Linked DNA regions of Macaca fascicularis. The protein of the gene in region 2 interacts with the protein of the main gene of each other region in a biochemical or structural test. Links are inferred from orthologs where the notes say so. Each region holds a gene or a part of one and is shown on either strand. Other genes may lie near its edges. The genes, in order: GRK2, GNAQ and RIC8A.

The links.
Region 1: the proteins of GNAQ (region 2) and GRK2 form a complex in vitro, tested with the Homo sapiens proteins (3 studies listed by BioGRID). The link is inferred for Macaca fascicularis from reciprocal best matches to the Homo sapiens genes GNAQ and GRK2.
Region 3: the proteins of GNAQ (region 2) and RIC8A form a complex in vitro, tested with the Homo sapiens proteins (2 studies listed by BioGRID). The link is inferred for Macaca fascicularis from reciprocal best matches to the Homo sapiens genes GNAQ and RIC8A.

What each region holds. Positions count from the first base shown.
Region 1 is NC_088388.1:7,107,868-7,113,636, forward strand, and holds the start of GRK2 (beta-adrenergic receptor kinase 1), read right to left. Parts: upstream 3,339-5,769; 5' UTR 3,109-3,338; coding exon 2,996-3,108; intron 1-2,995. UniProt on the Homo sapiens protein: Specifically phosphorylates the agonist-occupied form of the beta-adrenergic and closely related receptors, probably inducing a desensitization of them. Key regulator of LPAR1 signaling.
Region 2 is NC_088389.1:108,364,137-108,369,628, reverse strand, and holds part of GNAQ (guanine nucleotide-binding protein G(q) subunit alpha), read left to right. Parts: intron 1-1,916; coding exon 1,917-2,107; 3' UTR 2,108-5,492.
Region 3 is NC_088388.1:88,072-93,840, reverse strand, and holds the start of RIC8A (chaperone Ric-8A), read right to left. Parts: upstream 3,861-5,769; 5' UTR 3,779-3,860; coding exon 3,695-3,778; intron 3,359-3,694; coding exon 3,311-3,358; intron 3,223-3,310; coding exon 2,632-3,222; intron 2,063-2,631; coding exon 1,971-2,062; intron 1,383-1,970; coding exon 1,232-1,382; intron 194-1,231; exon of another isoform or gene 156-193; coding exon 60-155; intron 1-59. Other genes in the region: BET1L (BET1-like protein), read left to right, coding at 5,287-5,305.

The DNA.
Region 1 (5,769 bases), on a different chromosome or scaffold from region 2:
CCCAGCTCTCGGCCAAGCCACATCCCCAGGCACCAGCCATGGAGGGACTGCCAAGGTGGGCCACCTCAAGGTGTGAACAATTCCCAGAGGCACCCTGTCACGGGGACAAGCCACAGCCCCTCTCCCTGACTCTGACCTTGACCTTGGGGGTATGGGGAAGACAGGCTCCTGCATCTGATGGGACCCTGGAGTGGAGCTGCCCCTCGGGGCAGCAGCTTTGCCAGGGCAGCTCAATTCTCCATCCCAGCCAACAGGAAGGGGGCTGAGCCTTGTGAACTGTGACAGCCAATGGCCCCAGACAAGCGGTGCCAGTCAGCCCACGCCGCAAAATGTGGACAGGGGTGAGAACAGTGGTGTGCAGGGGTGGGTGGAGGGGATAAAGCACAGCAGAGAAACAGCACTGGCCTGTGTGGTCCAGAAACCTGAGGCCCCATTCCAGCTTTCTTCTGTGACGAGAACACGACTCCTCCCCTCCCTGAGCCTCAATGACTTCAACTGCTAAAGGGGAGAATCCCATCTGCTGGGCCTGCCTCCCACAGTTGTCAAAAGGACAAAATGGAGTAAAAAGCACTCTGCAAACGGAAAAGTGTCGGGCAAACATGAGACGTGGTCAGGATCACCATCGGGGCGGCAGGGGGTGCGCTCTGCCCCACTGGGTGTGCAAGGCAAGGCATTATGCAAAGGGTGGCTTGCTCCCTAATGCCCCAGGCCTGGACCCCCATGTAGGGGTGGCCCATAGCCCTTCCCAGGCCTTAGCACACTGACATTCGGCGCTCGCACCTCCAGTCCATTTCACAGATGTGGGCAATTTGCGGAAGGCCATGCTGCTGATGGTGACCCAATGTGAAAACCTGGGCTGCCTGGCTCCGCCTCCTGCTGTCCTCCTAGAATCCTATCCAACCTTGTTTCTGCTCAGGACTGCCTGGGGCGTCACACAGTCCTGGTATTTCTTGGGCAACTACTACATGCAAGGCATGGCCTTGCCAGCTTCACAGGTTGGTTGAAGAATTGAGAGGACAGATGTCAAAACAGGTAAGTCAGTAATAACTCCTATCATTATTGCTATCATCGCCATCACTGCTGTGGATGGGAAAGGGGACAGGAAAAGAAGAACATCTCGTTTCTCCGGGTTCTGACACCTGCAGAGCCAAGGCGGCACCCCATCAGAAGCAATGCATTCTGGGGGGAAAAGTACACGAACGCAGACAGTTCCAGAAAAGGTCCCACCTCACACATTGCCGAACTCCATCCTGCAGGAGGGTCTCAAAGCTGCGGCCACCAAGGAGAGCCGTTTTGAGCCCTAGAGGCTGACTCCCCCATTTCCTCCCTCGTGGGTTTGTCATTTCTGAACTCATTTCTGCACTAACCGTCACTGCTCCCTGGACAGCCCCCAGCTGACAGTCAGTCTGGTTCCTGTTTTGAGAAATCTGATTGCAAATATCTTAGAAAAAAAAGGCCCTAACGGCCTTTTCCGAATGCAGACCAATTTTCCTCTCCCCGGCCTGACGTTCAGTCAATCCAAACACCCAGTGAGCAGGGCATGGCAGAGGGGGCCGGTGAGGGCCATGGGCATGGCACCCCTGCAGCGTCAGCCCAGGCTTAGACAGACACTTCAAAGGCTGAGGGACATCACAGAGTCACAACTCTTATTTCACGCCATCCACATTTCACAGACGAGAAGACTGAGGCCCAGTGAGGGAAGGGACTTGCCCACAGTCACAAGATAAGACCACGGCAGTGTGGACAGGCCCCATTCCCAGCCTGCTGGGGCACCAGGAGGCTAACTCTCAGGCATGCACGAGGAGTTGCCACACGACACAAAGGACCGTGGCGGGCACATCTGCTCCCTGGCGCAAGCCAGGGCAGCCAATGAAATGTAGAACCGGAAGTCTGAAGCCCTGATCTGTTGGCCAGGTGCCACCTGAGACTACCTGTGTGACTTGGGGCAGGCCACTCACCTCTGGAGCTTCAGTTTCTCCACCTGTTCCACAGGGACAAAACCACACCTGTCCTGGCCACCCCATTCGCTGCTGAGAGGCTCACACAGTGGAGAGATACTCCATCAGCCATAAAGAGCTGGACAAACCGCAGCAATCGTCCACATCCTGTGTACTTTTGCACCTACATCCTGAACAGTCTAAACTTTGATACCAGGTGTGATGTCAGTTGTCTTACAGGGGCGGCAGCTAAGGTCCAGCTGTTGCCAGTGTGCTGGGAGGGCCCCTGGTCAACAGCACCCACCGGGCACCATATGCAGTGCACGCCCGAGAAGGAATGTGGGGGAGAGGGCACGGGATGTTTCCCCCACCTGAGCGCGGTCTGAGGGGGAGGGCGTCCGCAGCACCCTAGGTCCTGCTCACCACGCCGCCCCGAAAGCACTCTCAAGCCCAACTACAGGATAGCGACTCCACCAGAGGGTGGGAGAAGAGTCCGGAAAACTGGCTGTCCCCCCACACCTCACACAAGTGTAGATTGGAGGGGAGACGGGTGGGGGTAGTGGGAACCCCAAGGCGGGTGCCGTGAGCAGGGACAGCAAAAGGGTGGGTGACATCGTCAGGCGAGGTAAATGGTGGCCGGCGGAGGGGAAGGGACCCCACAGGGACCAAGGGCTGCTCGGAGGAGGATGAAGGGGCGCGCCGGGCCCCTGTGGGAGAAGGCGGGAGCTAGGGGCTGACAGCGACTGGAGCGGGGGGCCGGCGGAACGCGATAAGGAAGCAGCAGGGCGGCCGGCGGGACCGGAGCGGGCCCGGGGGCCGAAGGGGCAGAGGAGCTCCGGAGTTGGGGCGCTCCGGGCTCAGGCGCCCGGGGTCTGGGGCTTAGCGTCTGGACCCGCAGGCGCCACGGCCGGGCTGCTCCGGGCTCGGGGGCCGACAGAGGGTCGCGAGAGCCGGCCCCGGGGGTCCAAGTCGCGGGGTCGAGTGTGGGGCCAGGGTCTCGGAGTCGCGGCCGGGGTGCCCGCGGGGTCGGGCCGGGGCCGCGGGCGACTTCTCCTCACCTGGGCTCGGGCAGCAGGATCTTCTTGCTGGCGCGCGCGGCCGGCGTGGCCTTGCTCTTCTCCATGGCCATCAGGTAGCTCACGTCGGCCAGCACCGCCTCCAGGTCCGCCATCTTGGCGGCGGCGCTGCCTCCTCCCGCCGCCGCCGCCGCCGCCGCCGCCGCTCCCGCTCGCTCGGCGCTCGGCCCGGTCCGGCCGCGGCTCGGTCGGCCTGGGGCGCCGACGCCTCCCGCCTGGCCCCGCTCGGCGCCCGCGGCTCCGCTCGCCGCCGCTCACAGGCGGCGCCGCCCCATGGCGCCGGCTCGGGCCCGGCCCCGGCTCGCGCTCCGCTCCCGCCGGGACTGCAGTCGGGGCGCCGCCGCCGCCGCCGCCGCCGCCGCCCGCGCGCCCGCGCCCCGGAGCCGCCGCCGCCTCCGGCCCCGCCTGCCGCGCACAGCGCCAGCGAGCCCGCAAGTGGCCGAGCCGGGCGGGCGATGGTGCCCCCTGGAGGCCGCGCGGAGACCTGCGACAGAGGGCTCAGATCCTGGCGGTGACCTGGGGTCTGGACGGAGACCCGGGCCTGGAACAAGACAGGGACCCGGCACGGAAGACGATCCCAGACCCATTCCTTGACCACAACCTCGGGTCACATCTCTGAATCCCAGGCTCTCCAGTCAGGCCGTGGTCCTGCCAACAGACATGATCACAAGGAACCTGGACGCTCACCAAGACACAGATTCAGACCTCTGAACACCATCCCGGGGCTTTCATCTCAGACCCTGGCTATAACCCCAGACTCCCTGACCTTTGACGCAGTCCACGACCTGACACCAGACTCCAAACAGGACCCCAGACTCAAACCTTTGCCCACCACCTCAGACTCTAACCATGACCTCAGATCACAGCCCTGGGTCTCCAACGCCATACCCAGACTGTGACACTCACCCCAGACCCCTAACAGTTCCCCAGATCCAGATTTTGGACCATGACCTCGATCTCATCCTGGTTACTGACCCCAACCTTGACTCTGACCCTAGGCCACTACCATGACCCTGCATCCTAGACTTGGGGTCAGGGCTTAGACCTAGATTGGACTATCAACTCCAGACCACTGTCCTAGGCTCAACACCCAAAACTGTGGACACAGACTCAGGACTAGGACATCTAACCTGGGACCCACATTGGACCCAGAATCCTTAGTAGGTCACCCAGAACCTGGGATCTGACAACTACAGTCCAATTACAGCCTTCCCCCATCCCCGATCCCACCCCTCCTACTCTAGAACCAATCCTGGCCCCTGCAGGCCCACTCTGGATCAAGTACCCTGCACCCAACCCCACCCCCTAACAGGCTCGTAGACCCAGGTCCCTGGCCAGCACTCTTGGCAGCTCCCTTCCGTGTACCCCATCCCATCTAGACGCTCCTTCAGGATGGTTCCACATGTAGGGTGAAACCTCTCCCAGCCTGGGATGGCACAGAGGTTTCAGTGCTGCCTGGTAGGGGAAACCCACCCGAGAGCCCACCCAGAGTGAGGAAAGCCAGGTGTCTCAAGGCAGCAGTCCTATCTCAACATGCCCCTCTCTAGACCCTCTCTTTGCTTTTGAAGTGATAGGACCCTCCTCCCAGCCCTGGGCACATAGAGCTCAAATCTCATTACCATGTTGTGGGCCAGCAACCAGGATCCTTTTGCAAAGCAAGGCTCCCATCTCTGTGCACTTCTAGGCTACCTTCTTGGATCAGTCCCAACAGAACCTGGAACCAGAGCATATCAGAGCTAGTGAGGTTCTCCTCTCAGTGAGTGGTGAGCCCCAGGTTTCTTTTCCCTAACTGCTCCTTCATTTTCTCCCCTTCTCTAATTTGTCACTATAGTCTCCTGTCTGGCCTCCTGAGAATCTCCTTGAATCTGTCTACTTCTCAGGGTCCTATGGCCAGCCACTGCCCTGATGCAGGCCCTGACCAGAGATGCCTTTCCCAGGTCTAGATCTGATGGAGTCACTGCCTGCTTGGCACCAAGAAGCAGCTCTCCAGGCCTTCTGGGGCTACTGAGAGTGAGAGACCTAGAGGGGTCTCTAGGACTCACCCCACTCTGCCCAAAGCAGGTTAGGTGAACAAACTCCTTAATCTGCAAGTCAAGATCTTGGAGGACTTGGACCTTGGATGCTCCCGTTTGTTTTGCTACCATCCTCTGCACCTGGAGCTCCCCCACCAACTCACCCACCCATTCTCACTTCTGTGCCTCTGCTGTTTCCTGGGCCTGGAAGCCCTTCTGTGTACCTTTCTCCCTGGCCAACTCCTACTTATCCGCTAAGACTCACCTCCTCCCGGCAGTCTTCCCTGACTCCCTGACCCCAACTATGTACATCTCCAGTTCTACACTTACCACCTTCTAGGCCCTATTTTCCATCTTCAGTTGCAAGATGCATCATTGCAAGATGCATCATTGCAAGTTTTGAGAGTGGGGAGTGAAGTCTCATTACATATCTGCATCAATTGGAAAATGCATCGTGATGTTGGAAATGCTGTTATATATATTTAAAGAGTACATACTGTCCCCCACTGTCACTGGTGCTCCTAGTTCATCCCTTGCTCCCAGTGCCCACCACAGGACCTGACTCAAAGGCGTCAATGTTTGAGGAGTGAATGAATGAGTGAATGAGCTGTTGGAGCACATGGGGTTTGGAGTGGAACAAGGCCAGATGCCACAACATGAAGCCTCTAACCTCCTCTCCCCACTGCCCTGTCCTGACTCTTCTGGACTGTGAGCACAGCCACATGTCAGCCAGGGTTTTCGGGA
Region 2 (5,492 bases):
AGAGCCCCTGCTCTCAGTTCCTTTGGATATATACATTGGAGTAGACTAGCAGGGTCAGTCATGTGGTTATTCTATGTTTAGCTTTTTGAGGAACCACCAAACTGTTTTCACAACAGCTGCACCTTTGTACATTCCCACCAACAGTGCACAGGAGTACAAATCTCTCCACATTTTCCCCAACCCTTGTTATTTCACACTTTTTTATAGCCATTCTAGATGTGGAGGGGTATCTCATTGTGGTTTTGATTTGCATTTTTCTAAATGATTACTGGTGTTGAGCATCTTTTCCTGTGCTTATTGACCATTTGTATATCTTCTTTAGAGAAATGTCTGTTCAAGTCTTTTGCCTATTTTTTAATTGGGTTTTTTGTGTGTGTGTTATTGAATTGTAGGAGCTCTTTGTATATTCTGGATACTAAACTCTTATCAGATGACATGATTTGCAAATATTTTCTCCCATTCTATAGATTGACTTTTCACTTTCTTAATAATGGCGTTGGCCAGGTGTGGTGGCTCATGCTTATAATCCCAGCACTTTGGGAGCCTGAGGTGGGAGGATTGCTTGAGGCCAGAAGTTCAAGAACAGCCTAGACAACATAGTGAGGCCCCATCTTTACAAAAAATTTAAAAATTTGCCACGCTTGGTGGCACCTGTAGTTCCAGCTATTCAGGAGGCTGAGGCAAGAGGATCACTTGAGCCCAGAAGGTTGAGGCTGCAGTGAGCCATGATCATGCCACTACACTGTAGCCTGGGTAGCAGAGCAAGACCCTGTCAAAAAAAAAAAAAAATAGTCCTTGGATACATAAGGTTTTTAATTTTGATGAAGTCCAATTTATTTTTTCTTTTGTGAAAAATATGACCTGGCTGTGGTGTCATATCTAAGAATCCATTGCAAAATTACGTTTTTAGTTTATCTTGCTAGATATATCACAATTCTTTTTCAAAGCATCTAGGACAATTCCTGGCACATAAGAGACTCCTTCCTAAATCAATGTGAGAAAATACAGGCCGAGTGCAGTGGCTGACACCTGTAATCCCAGCACTTTGGGAGGCCAAGGCGGGTGCATCACCTGAGATTAGGAGTTTGAGAACAGCCTGGCCAACATGGCAAAACCTTGTCTCTACTAAAAATACAAAAATTTAGCTAAGCATGATGGCAGGCACCTGTAATCCCAGCTGCTCAGCAGACTGAGGCAAGAGAATCGCTTGAACCTGGGAGGCAGAGGTTGCAGTGAGCCGAGATCTCATCGCTGCACTCTTGCCTGGGCAACATGGTGAGACTGTATCTCAAAAAAAGATAAACCAATTGTTTTATCATCACAAATGAACTGAATGCTACACAAATGTAGTGTGCTCATAAATACCAGAAATCTATGGAAGTGAGACTACCGAGGCCCACTGTAGACAGAGCTGACCTTACAAACAGGTGTTTTATTCTAAGAGGGATTGTCAGTCTGGAAGATGTAAAATGATCCATAATGTTGAGTCGTTTGGAGGACAGATTGACAGGAGAGCCCAAGGAGGCTGTGTCTTTGTGCACACTTATTAAATAGCTGAAACAAGCATAATTAACTCAGTTGAACAGAAGTAAGCTATCACTCCCCTGATGAAGAGCCTACAGTGGCTCCCAGTCACTCAGGGAATCAGAGTGAAGGCCAAGCTAAGAAATAGACTTAACCTTGGCCTTCAAGTCATCTGTCTGCTTTCACCTATACACAGTTTGTGAATGGGTGGGTACGTGGGTGGGTGGGTGGATGGTCAGACATAGTAGTGTTAGGGAAAATGATTATAACAGATCAAATCTGCAGTGCAGATGTAGGCTTCATGAGCAATGACACAGTATTTATTGAACGAATGATAATTGAGTACATTAGCAGATTAGGTAACAGTGTCCCTCTTGTCTCTTGGCCAAAAGGACCCCAGAGAGATGCCCAGGCAGCCCGAGAATTCATTCTGAAGATGTTCGTGGACCTGAACCCAGACAGTGACAAAATTATCTACTCCCACTTCACATGCGCGACAGACACCGAGAACATCCGCTTTGTCTTTGCTGCCGTCAAGGACACCATCCTCCAGTTGAACCTGAAGGAGTACAATCTGGTCTAATTGTGCCTCCTAGACACCCGCCCTGCCCTTCCCTGGTGGGCTATTGAAGATACACAAGAGGGACTGTATTTCTGTGGAAAACAATTTGCATAATACTAATTTATTGCCGTCCTGGACTCTGTGTGAGCGTGTCCACAGAGTTTGTAGTAAATATTATGATTTTATTTAAACTATTCAGAGGAAAAACAGAGGATGCTGAAGTACAGTCCCAGCACATTTCCTCTCTATCTTTTTTTTAGGCAAAACCTTGTGACTCAATGTATTTTAAATTCTCAGTCATGCACTCACAAAGATAAGACTTGTTTCTTTTCTCTCTTTCTCTCTTTTTCTTTTCTATGGAGCAAAACAAAGCTGATTTCCTTTTTTTTTCCCCCCCTAATTTATACTTCCCTCCTGATTTTTTTCCCAAGATACAATGACCTTTATCCTAGTTCCATTCTTGGTCAAGTTTTTCTCTCAAATGATACAGTCAGGACACATCGTTCGATTTAAGCCATCATCAGCTTAATTTAAGTTTGTAGTTTTTGCTGAAGGATTACATGTATTAATACTATGGTTTTAAATGTGTTGCTCTGTATACATACATAGTTTCTTTTTTAATAGAATGTACTGTCTTGTCTCACTTTGGACTGGGACAATGGATGCCCGTCTAACAGTAAGTGTCATTTCTTTTAGATGTTTACCTTCAGCCATAGCTTGATTGCTCAGAGAAATGTGCAGAAGGCAGGATCAAAGACACACAGGAGTCCTTTCTTTTGAAATGCTACGTGCCATTGTCTTTCCTCCCTTCTTTGCTTCTTTTTCTTTTTTTCACCCTCTCTTTCAATTGCAGATGCCAAAAAAGATGCCAACAGACACTACATTACCCTAATGGCTGCTACCCAGAACCTTTTTATAGGTTGTTCTTAATTTTTTTGTTGTTGTTGTTTAAGCTTTTCCTTCCTTTTTTTTCTTAGTGTTTGGGGGCCACAATTTTAAAATGACTTTTATTATGGGAATGTGTTGCCAAAGCTGGCTTTTTTTCAAATAAAATGAATAAGAACTCAAAAAATAAAAGCTGGTATCTTAAAATGTAAGAGAGTAAGACTGTGAAGCCTAAAATGACTGGCTGAGAATGAACCAGAAATGCCAATTGCCAAACAGTTGGTAACTGTAAATTTGATTCTCACGGTCCATTCTTTTATTTGTCCTTAAGATGACATTGTTAGTGTTCACGTCCCATGTTCAGTGTCCAAACCGGCAATGTAAAAAGTATCCTGTGTGGTTTAACAGGAAATCTGTTTATGTCTCTTTATTTGAAACCAGTTTTACTCTCAATGGTTCTTTAAGTTCAATTAAGTCTGCCAGGAACATTGGTTGATAGTATTATTCTGACACCTTTAATTTCCAAAATCTGAAGTTCCTGCTGGTTAACCACCTTCAAGATCTTCTTGAACTGGTAACTGATTAGGTTGAACTTACAGAAGATTTGTGGACTTAACTCAAAAGTAACCTCTCAGTGTTCTATAGAACATGTATTTGTGTAACTGAACCTACTAGGAGAAATGTTTGGAATTCTATATGTGCAATTTTTCAGCAAATGCAAAAAAATACAGCACACGTATTGACGAGCTTCTGTCAAGCAGCTTGAGTTGAAATTTAAGAAAATAAATCACGATTGTTTAAAGCTGCTGGGACGTTAGAATTAGGCCATGAGACTGGTCTCATTTTAACTATAGTGGTATTTGGCACTAGTCTAAACTTCCATATAAATCACTCTTTTGGAACAACAAAGGGGGAGGGAGAAAACTAACGGCCTGTTAGATGAGTACCAAAGCCACCAAACAGTAATGAAATATTCTCATTCTTGATTCTCCCAGCCTCAAACAACACAGGTTACTTTTTTTCCCTTGCTCAGAAAGCACCTGTAATGTAACAAGCAGACTGCCTGTAGGTATAGTGCAATTACAAATGCTCTAATCATTGTACATACATCTCTCTTGATATTGCAGCATCCATACTGGCTTTGTAATCATTAATTTTTTGGCAGATTGAATGTGCTGTATTGATATGTATCTATGTAATTGTATTGTATGTCTATAGCTAATTCACATTTTGAATAATGTTATTTTATTTACTTTTTTAAGAGAGGAGAATGTAAATTTGTCAGTTTATTTCTGACTAGGGATATTTTCTTTCCATTTAGAAAAGAAGAAAAAAAAAAACCTTACTGTCGTACAGAGCGGTACTAGCGTCGTGCTGTATAAAATCATTTGCACATTCCTGAGTAGAGGTATACTGATTATAAGACCCAAAGGTAATTTCATAGCAAAATACATAAAATCAGTCAGAGCTTTTATACAAACATGGAAACCAACTTTGTAGAACTTTTGCCATTTGATCTAGGATTGGAATATGAGCTTTTATACAATTCATATTCTTATTTGGCAAATGCACAGTTTAGTATTACCTCTCTGATGGCCTTTACTAGAAAGGCAGTTTTAGAAGCTATTGTGATCCACTAAGGAAATGTTTTAACAGCTAGAGACCACTGCTTGCCTGAAAGGGCGTTCTTAAATTTGGTGCAGCAAAAAAAAAAAAAAAAAAAGTAAAAACAACAACATTTGAAGGCCTACAGTGTGTATAGAGAAAACCTCATCACAAGATCATAAGTGTTACAGTTTTAGGGAATCAAGATATTCTATTTAATAGAGCTATAGTAGATGTAGTCAATCAAACCTGATCTCAAAGCTTGAAGAAGCTGAGCAAAACAGGGAAAGATTGTTATATTTGTCTTTATGAAATTGGGATGGAATTTGCTATGCAGAATTGAGGTTTGTGGCTTCACTGTTCCTGTAGGGTGCATGACAAGATCCCTTCTCTTGAGAAAGGAAAAAATTGATCACCCTAGCAGCAGTGATGCATAGAAACCTAATTTTAGCCACACTAGTCAATCGAAGCTAAAGGATTTTCTTTTTTGTTTCTTTGGGGTTTTATTGAAGGGGCTAAGGGCGGGACGGGATTCTTTTCAGTTTTGTATAAAACAAAGTTTACTCATGCTTTATATTATATTGTGATTGCAAGCGTTATAAGCGTGTGCCACTGGCCTCCTATTGTTGATGCTTAGGTAATGGAGGCCTGTGGTGAGTTTTATGGTGACTTGGGCATGTCTTATTCAAAAACAAAAACATAAAACACAGAAACCTTTCTTCAGCATACCAAGGCAAGCAGCCATTTCATGACTCACTTAACACATTGCAGTGTACCAGTTTACAGATGATTTTTCCCTTTTTGCGTGACATGGCAGTTCCAACCCCCAGAGAATTCCTTATTTGTAAATTGGAAGTTTCTACTATGCCTTACAGAGCTTAAATTCAGAAGTTTGTGCCTCATATCTGAAACAAAG
Region 3 (5,769 bases), on a different chromosome or scaffold from region 2:
GGTCTGTGATCAGGGCCGAAACCACATCCCCCAGGAGTGCCAGCTCCTCAGTCTCATACCTGGGCCTTCAGGAACTTCCTGGCTGGGCGGTGCATCCGGGCACATTCGGTCAGCACGCTCAGCACGGGAGCTACGCTCTCCTTCAGCCTGTGTGTCTGTAGAGGAGCCTCTGTCACCGTGGCTGTGCTCCTGCCTAATTTGAGACTGGCGCAGAGTTACACCCCCCACCGCCCCTTCCCACCAACATACACAGCAGCTGGTCCTGGTGGCACAGGTTTGGGAAGAGGCCCCTCTGCAGTTAGTCAGCAGAAGGCCAAGAGTGGGTGGTGGGTGTCTGTGTCACTTTTGAAAAGGACGGGCACAGAGCTTCACTCAGAGGTACTTGTTGTAAGCTTGGTGACTTGGGAGAAATAACTGCTTTAAGTCTAATTACCTCAACTATAAACCAGGGCTGGGAAGAAAACACAAAGCAATTAAAGCTTTAGACTGGCACACACATTGCCCTCAGATGTTGGTGGCAAAAAGAAACGAGAACCGAATCCCCACTCTGGGTACTTCATGGACAGAGAGCAGGGAGTTCCTGACCCTCCTAGCATAATGTGCCTGGACCCCAGCACCAGCAGTGGCAGCGACAGCGACAGGCACAGACAACCCCCCGGCTGTATGTCCAGTGCCAGCTCCCTACCCTGACTGGCTCTCACGCACCATGTGTGTCCCCTGCTTAGGCAGGTAGATTCCCGAGAGGTCTCCTAAATCTCGGTTTATTGTGCTCCAGCCTGCTTTCTGCAAGCTCCTGGAGGATGGTTAGAGCCCTAGCTATCCAGATGCCCTGTAGTGCAGTCACAGGAATCAGAGGGAAGCTTTGATCTGAGGTTCCTATGGGTCTCCTCAGGATGTTGAGGGACAGCTATGCTTGTAGTCAAGGGCTGCCTGTGTCTGAGAGTTAAAAGCAGGGACTTGGGGGCTTCTCAGGACCACTCAATAAAGATCCACAAAGATTTAAGAAGTGAAACCTTCAAGTGTGTGGAAGGTGTCCACATGCTTCTCATGAAGGAAGGGTCTAGCTTGTTGCCAGGCTGGACCACAGAACAGCCGGAAGAATCGCCTGTATCACACCACCAAGATGATTTCCACTTACCAATGTGGCCAGTGGAGAAGCACTGACCACAGCTGTGCAGGAGAACCAGTGCCAGAGCCACTGGGGGAGCCTGTACAGCCATCCCCAGCCTACCTGGTGCAAACGCTTCTCTAGGAAGATGAGGAGGGCACGAATCACATCCATATTCACTCCCATGAACTCCACGGAGTCTTCGTGTGGCTCCAGGGTGAGGAGAACATCCAGACACTTGAGAGGCAAGTTCCCCAGGAGGTTCACTGCGTGGCTGAGGACAGATGGAGGTGGGGGTCTCAATAGGGCTAATCCCTCAGCACAGATGCAATCTTTGTGCCCCCACTGAACCACACATTACATGAGCTGGCGTCTGAGGCCCAAAGGGGCGGCACTGGGGACCAAAGCCAAGGGCAGGGACTGATCTGAGAGGCACTGCCACTCAGCTGTACAGTGGGGTCCCCTGGGGAAGTGGGGGCTGAGACACCCTGCCTCCCCTACCCTGTCTGGGCCAAAGCGCCAGACCATCTCTGGAAACCACACCAGCCAAGGGGCAGGTGGACCAAGAATGGGGACAAGGAGCCAATGTGCCCTAGTAAATACCACACTGTCTGTTGCCACTACCCAAGGCCCAGGTGGCACATTCCTGCCCCCAAATTCATGGCTGTTGTCCTGGCCACATATTAGAAGCACCCAGTATTCTCTGGAAACACACCGATGTCCAGTCTCACTCACCCAGACAAAGTCAGACCCTCTAGGGTGGGGCCTGGGCTCTCAGGTGGTTCTGGTTCACAGCCAGGGCTGAGGATGACCATCTAAACATGTGGACACACTTCCCTCCCAGAAAAAGCCCCATCCTCACCCATGGAACTCCTCTGTGCGGTCTCCAGCAGTAGCAATCATCACACAGTGCCGGAGAAGGGTCCCCAGGTGTCGGTAAAGAGCAGCGTCTTCCTGACCAAAGAAAGAAGGGTTCCTGTGAGGAGCCCCACTCATCCCACTGCTGCCTGCTGAGGCTCTACTGTCTGTTGCACTCCAGAACTGTGTGGCAATGACTGTGCACCTCCTGTACTGCACACTTGGTCCCCTGGGGTCTCCTAGGTGACTCTGGCTAGTGCTGGGGGCAAAAGATGACCACCGCTGTCTTCCTAAAAACTCCATGAGTATTCTTCTAAGAGCACGTCCCTGATTAGGAATGTTAACACACACCCTTGGGATGAAGTCACACTCTTGTCTCAGCCCCACTCACAGCCTCATGGTGGAGGATCTCTTACAGTCTCCCCGGAGAGCACACAGCCCCCTGCCAGGCAGCAAGAGCCAGAAGGGGCCTCTACTTCCCTCAGAATCCTCCCCTAAGGTCCCAGCCCAGAACTGGCATCTCCTTGGCCTTGTCCCAACACGCTGGGAGGTCCTGTTCTCTCCATGTCTGACACCCAGAAACCTGAAGGTACCCAGTGGGAAGCAGGTCCAGGAAATGTTGGAGCTGAGTTGAGACCCATCCATGGGTTGAGGTCAGGGCTCACCTCGTCCACCTCCCCCTTGATGGAGTCGAGGGTGATGTTGAAGAGCACTTTGAGGATCTCCATGGCCCGCTCAGTCTCTTGGGAAGGAAGGAGCTTGGGTGGGTTCCCTTCAGGAGTCACCCCCAGCGTCAGCTCCAGTGTGTCAGTCAGCAGATGCACTCCTTTCAGCTCCTGAAACAGCTGCTGGCGCACATCGGTGCGGAGTGCCGTTAGCAGGAAGAGGAGCCTCAAGTCAAAGAACTGGACATCGTGGGGGAAGCTCCTCTCCCGGTACAGCCCCACACGCTCTGTGAGCTTCACCACTAGGCGGGCCTCTGCTGCCAGCATCTGTGCCACAGGGCTGCTGAGCACGAGGTTGCACAGGCACTTGAGGGACTCCAGTACAACATCCATGTCGGGGGAGTCTGGGACGGACCCCTCAGAGCCAGAGATGTCAGCATAGCAGGCCAGTGCCTGCAGGCTCTGGCGGCTGGTAAACGGGTCCAAGCAGTTGCGGTCCCGGGACAGGATTCGGACACTCTGCAGCCAGGTGACCCGGTGGGAGGGTGGCAAGCCCTGTTCCAGGACGGAGACCAGCAGCTCCGCCAGTCTCTGTGGGCAGGGAGACGAGCGGCTCCACCAGGCCCCTCTTCCTGGGGCCACCCGTCCCTGTCCCTTTACCCCTCGGGCCAGCACCCACCTTCCGGTCCTCCTGTTGAGCATCATCAAACGTGAAGCTCTGGGAGTGCTGCAGAGAGAACGAGTGAATTCAAGTCCACAGAGGGGCAGTATCCGCGCCCGCTGACGGGGGGCGGCCTATTGGCCTCTAACTCAGGCAGCAGCCACTGCTCAGAAGGGGTGGCAGGGTCTACACTCGCCCCCATCCCTACACACCTGCCACCCAACGGGTGCACCCCAGACACTCTCCCCCCAACACTGCATCCCTGACGTGCCACCCCCACGCCGCCGCGTCCCCTCTGCTTGCTGACACAACCCCTGCCTCACCCACACCGTCCCGACCACCCGCGCACGACCCTGCCCCACCCCCTCCGTGCCCGCCCCCCGGCCTCAGGCGGCCGCTCACCTCCTGGTTGTACGACCGCAGAGCTTCCATAATCACATCCTCCTTCCCCGTCTCCACGGCTTCTGCAACCGCCCGGGGCTCCATGGCGCCCCCGGAACCCGGCGCGGGGAAGGCGGGACGGGCCCTTCCTCAACCTTTCCGGGCCGCAGTTCGCCGGCCCCGCCCTGGCCCAGAAAGCCCCGCGCCAGCGCGCGGGGGAGGCCGGGACGGGACGCGGCGTCTGGTGGCGCTTCAAGGGGGCGCGGCCTGAGGCAGCACTGGCGGCTCGGAAGACCCGAGTCGGGCCAAGTCGCCCTGAACCGGACTGATCCCCCTCCTTGTGACCGGGGCTTCTTGGGCCGGAATTTCCAACAGGAAAGGATCTCAGCCCCCACCGCGCCCTGCCACACACACAGTGACGCCCCTCGAGCTCCACAGAACCGATGGGATGTAGACGGGAAAGCCGAAGTGGAAAGGACTTTTCAGTCCCGGGCCATTGGGTTCGTTAGGCGTTTGCTGGGGAATGCAAGCGAACGGGACTCCCAGGCCCCTGCCTTTGTGGAGCTTATGTTCCAGAGGGGAAGGCAGACAAGGAAAAACAAAAGGACATGAGGCGGTCACAGGGCTGTGCTTCAAAAGAAGCAAAAGGTGACTGCTGGGCTGCAAGGGCTGTGAGGCAGTGGTGTTTTTGCTAACACTGGACGATGGGAAGCGAGCCGGGAAAAGACTGGAGGAGCCACTCCAGGCAGAAGGAGCAGCACTTGCAAAGGTGGAAGGGCCGTGAGGGGCCGAGAGAAAGGGGAGCAACGCAGTCTGGCCTGGACTCAGTTCCCTCTTGACAAGCAAAGATCCTGCGTGTCCGTTTCAGTGGCCATCAGGAGGATTCAGTGACGCACAGGAAGCGCGGTCCACTGGCTCTTGTAACAAGTGCCCGGGAGCAAAGGCGTCTACGGCCCCCACTCCCCGTGCCGCCTCCCAGTCTCTTTCCCTGCTTCACTTTCCTGTAGCGCTTTCCGCACACCTGTATTCGACGCGGCGCGCACTCGCAGGCACTAGCGAGGCGCCGATCTCCACTTGACAGAGGAGGCACCCTTGCCCCCTCCACACCCAGGGCTCCTCGCGGGCTTCTGCCCGAGGGGCCTACTCCTCCCTCATGACCCGCCTGTGAATCCTTCCTAACCGTTAGGACCTAACGCATGGCAGCGTCTTTCCACCACCATCGTCTTGGCACTGAGCAAGCAAACGGCCCCGCCCCGCCCCACGTTCACAGGAACAACAAACAAACGTCACATCCGCGGTGCTGCTGTAATCCCAGCACCTTGGGAGCCCGGCAGGCGGGGGCTGCAGTGAGCTGAGATCGCGCCACTGCCTGGGCGACAGTGCTGAAAATAAGTCACAGCGACGCCCATCGCTTCCGCGACCCCGCGGTTCCCCACCCTCGGGCCTAAGCCGGAAATCAGCGAGCCCGACGCCATCTAGGGGCGTGGTTGGCGCGGAGGCGGGGCCATCGCTGGCGGGGGGCGGGGCCGGAAGCCCGTTCCCCGTGACTGCGCCACGTCTGAGGCGGCTGTGGCCGCGTCGGTGTTGGCGTCGAGGAGCCGGGGCAGGGCACGATGGCGGACTGGGCTCGGGGTGAGCGCGGGAGAGCGGAGCCGTTGGGGGCAGGGCCGGGCCGGAACCGACGCCGCTGCCTGTAGAGCCGCGTGCGCCTGCCTCTGGCCTCGGCGGGGAGGACCCTGTCAGGGGGGCGGATTCGGATCCTTCCGGGTCCCAGCAGGGCCGGGTTTCGGCCAGCACTGCCGCTAGGAAGGACGGCGGGCGGGGCGGCCCAGCAGCTCCAGCGAGGGCTCGCGCAGCTGCGGGGTCCCCCCACTCCCCGCCGCTCCCTGTGAGATCGTTTTGCATGGGTTCAGGGTGAGCGGGAGTCTCGGCATTCGACAGGTCCCGAGGCCAGGCCTTCGGAGTAGGCTGTGCTCCGCTGGTGTCCAGGCAGGCCTCTGCTAACTAACTTGGGCCTCGGTGGCCCCATTTCCCCTCCTGGAGCCCGTGTTCTTCTCTGCAAAGTGGGATATTGATGCCTGTCTGAGTTATGATGA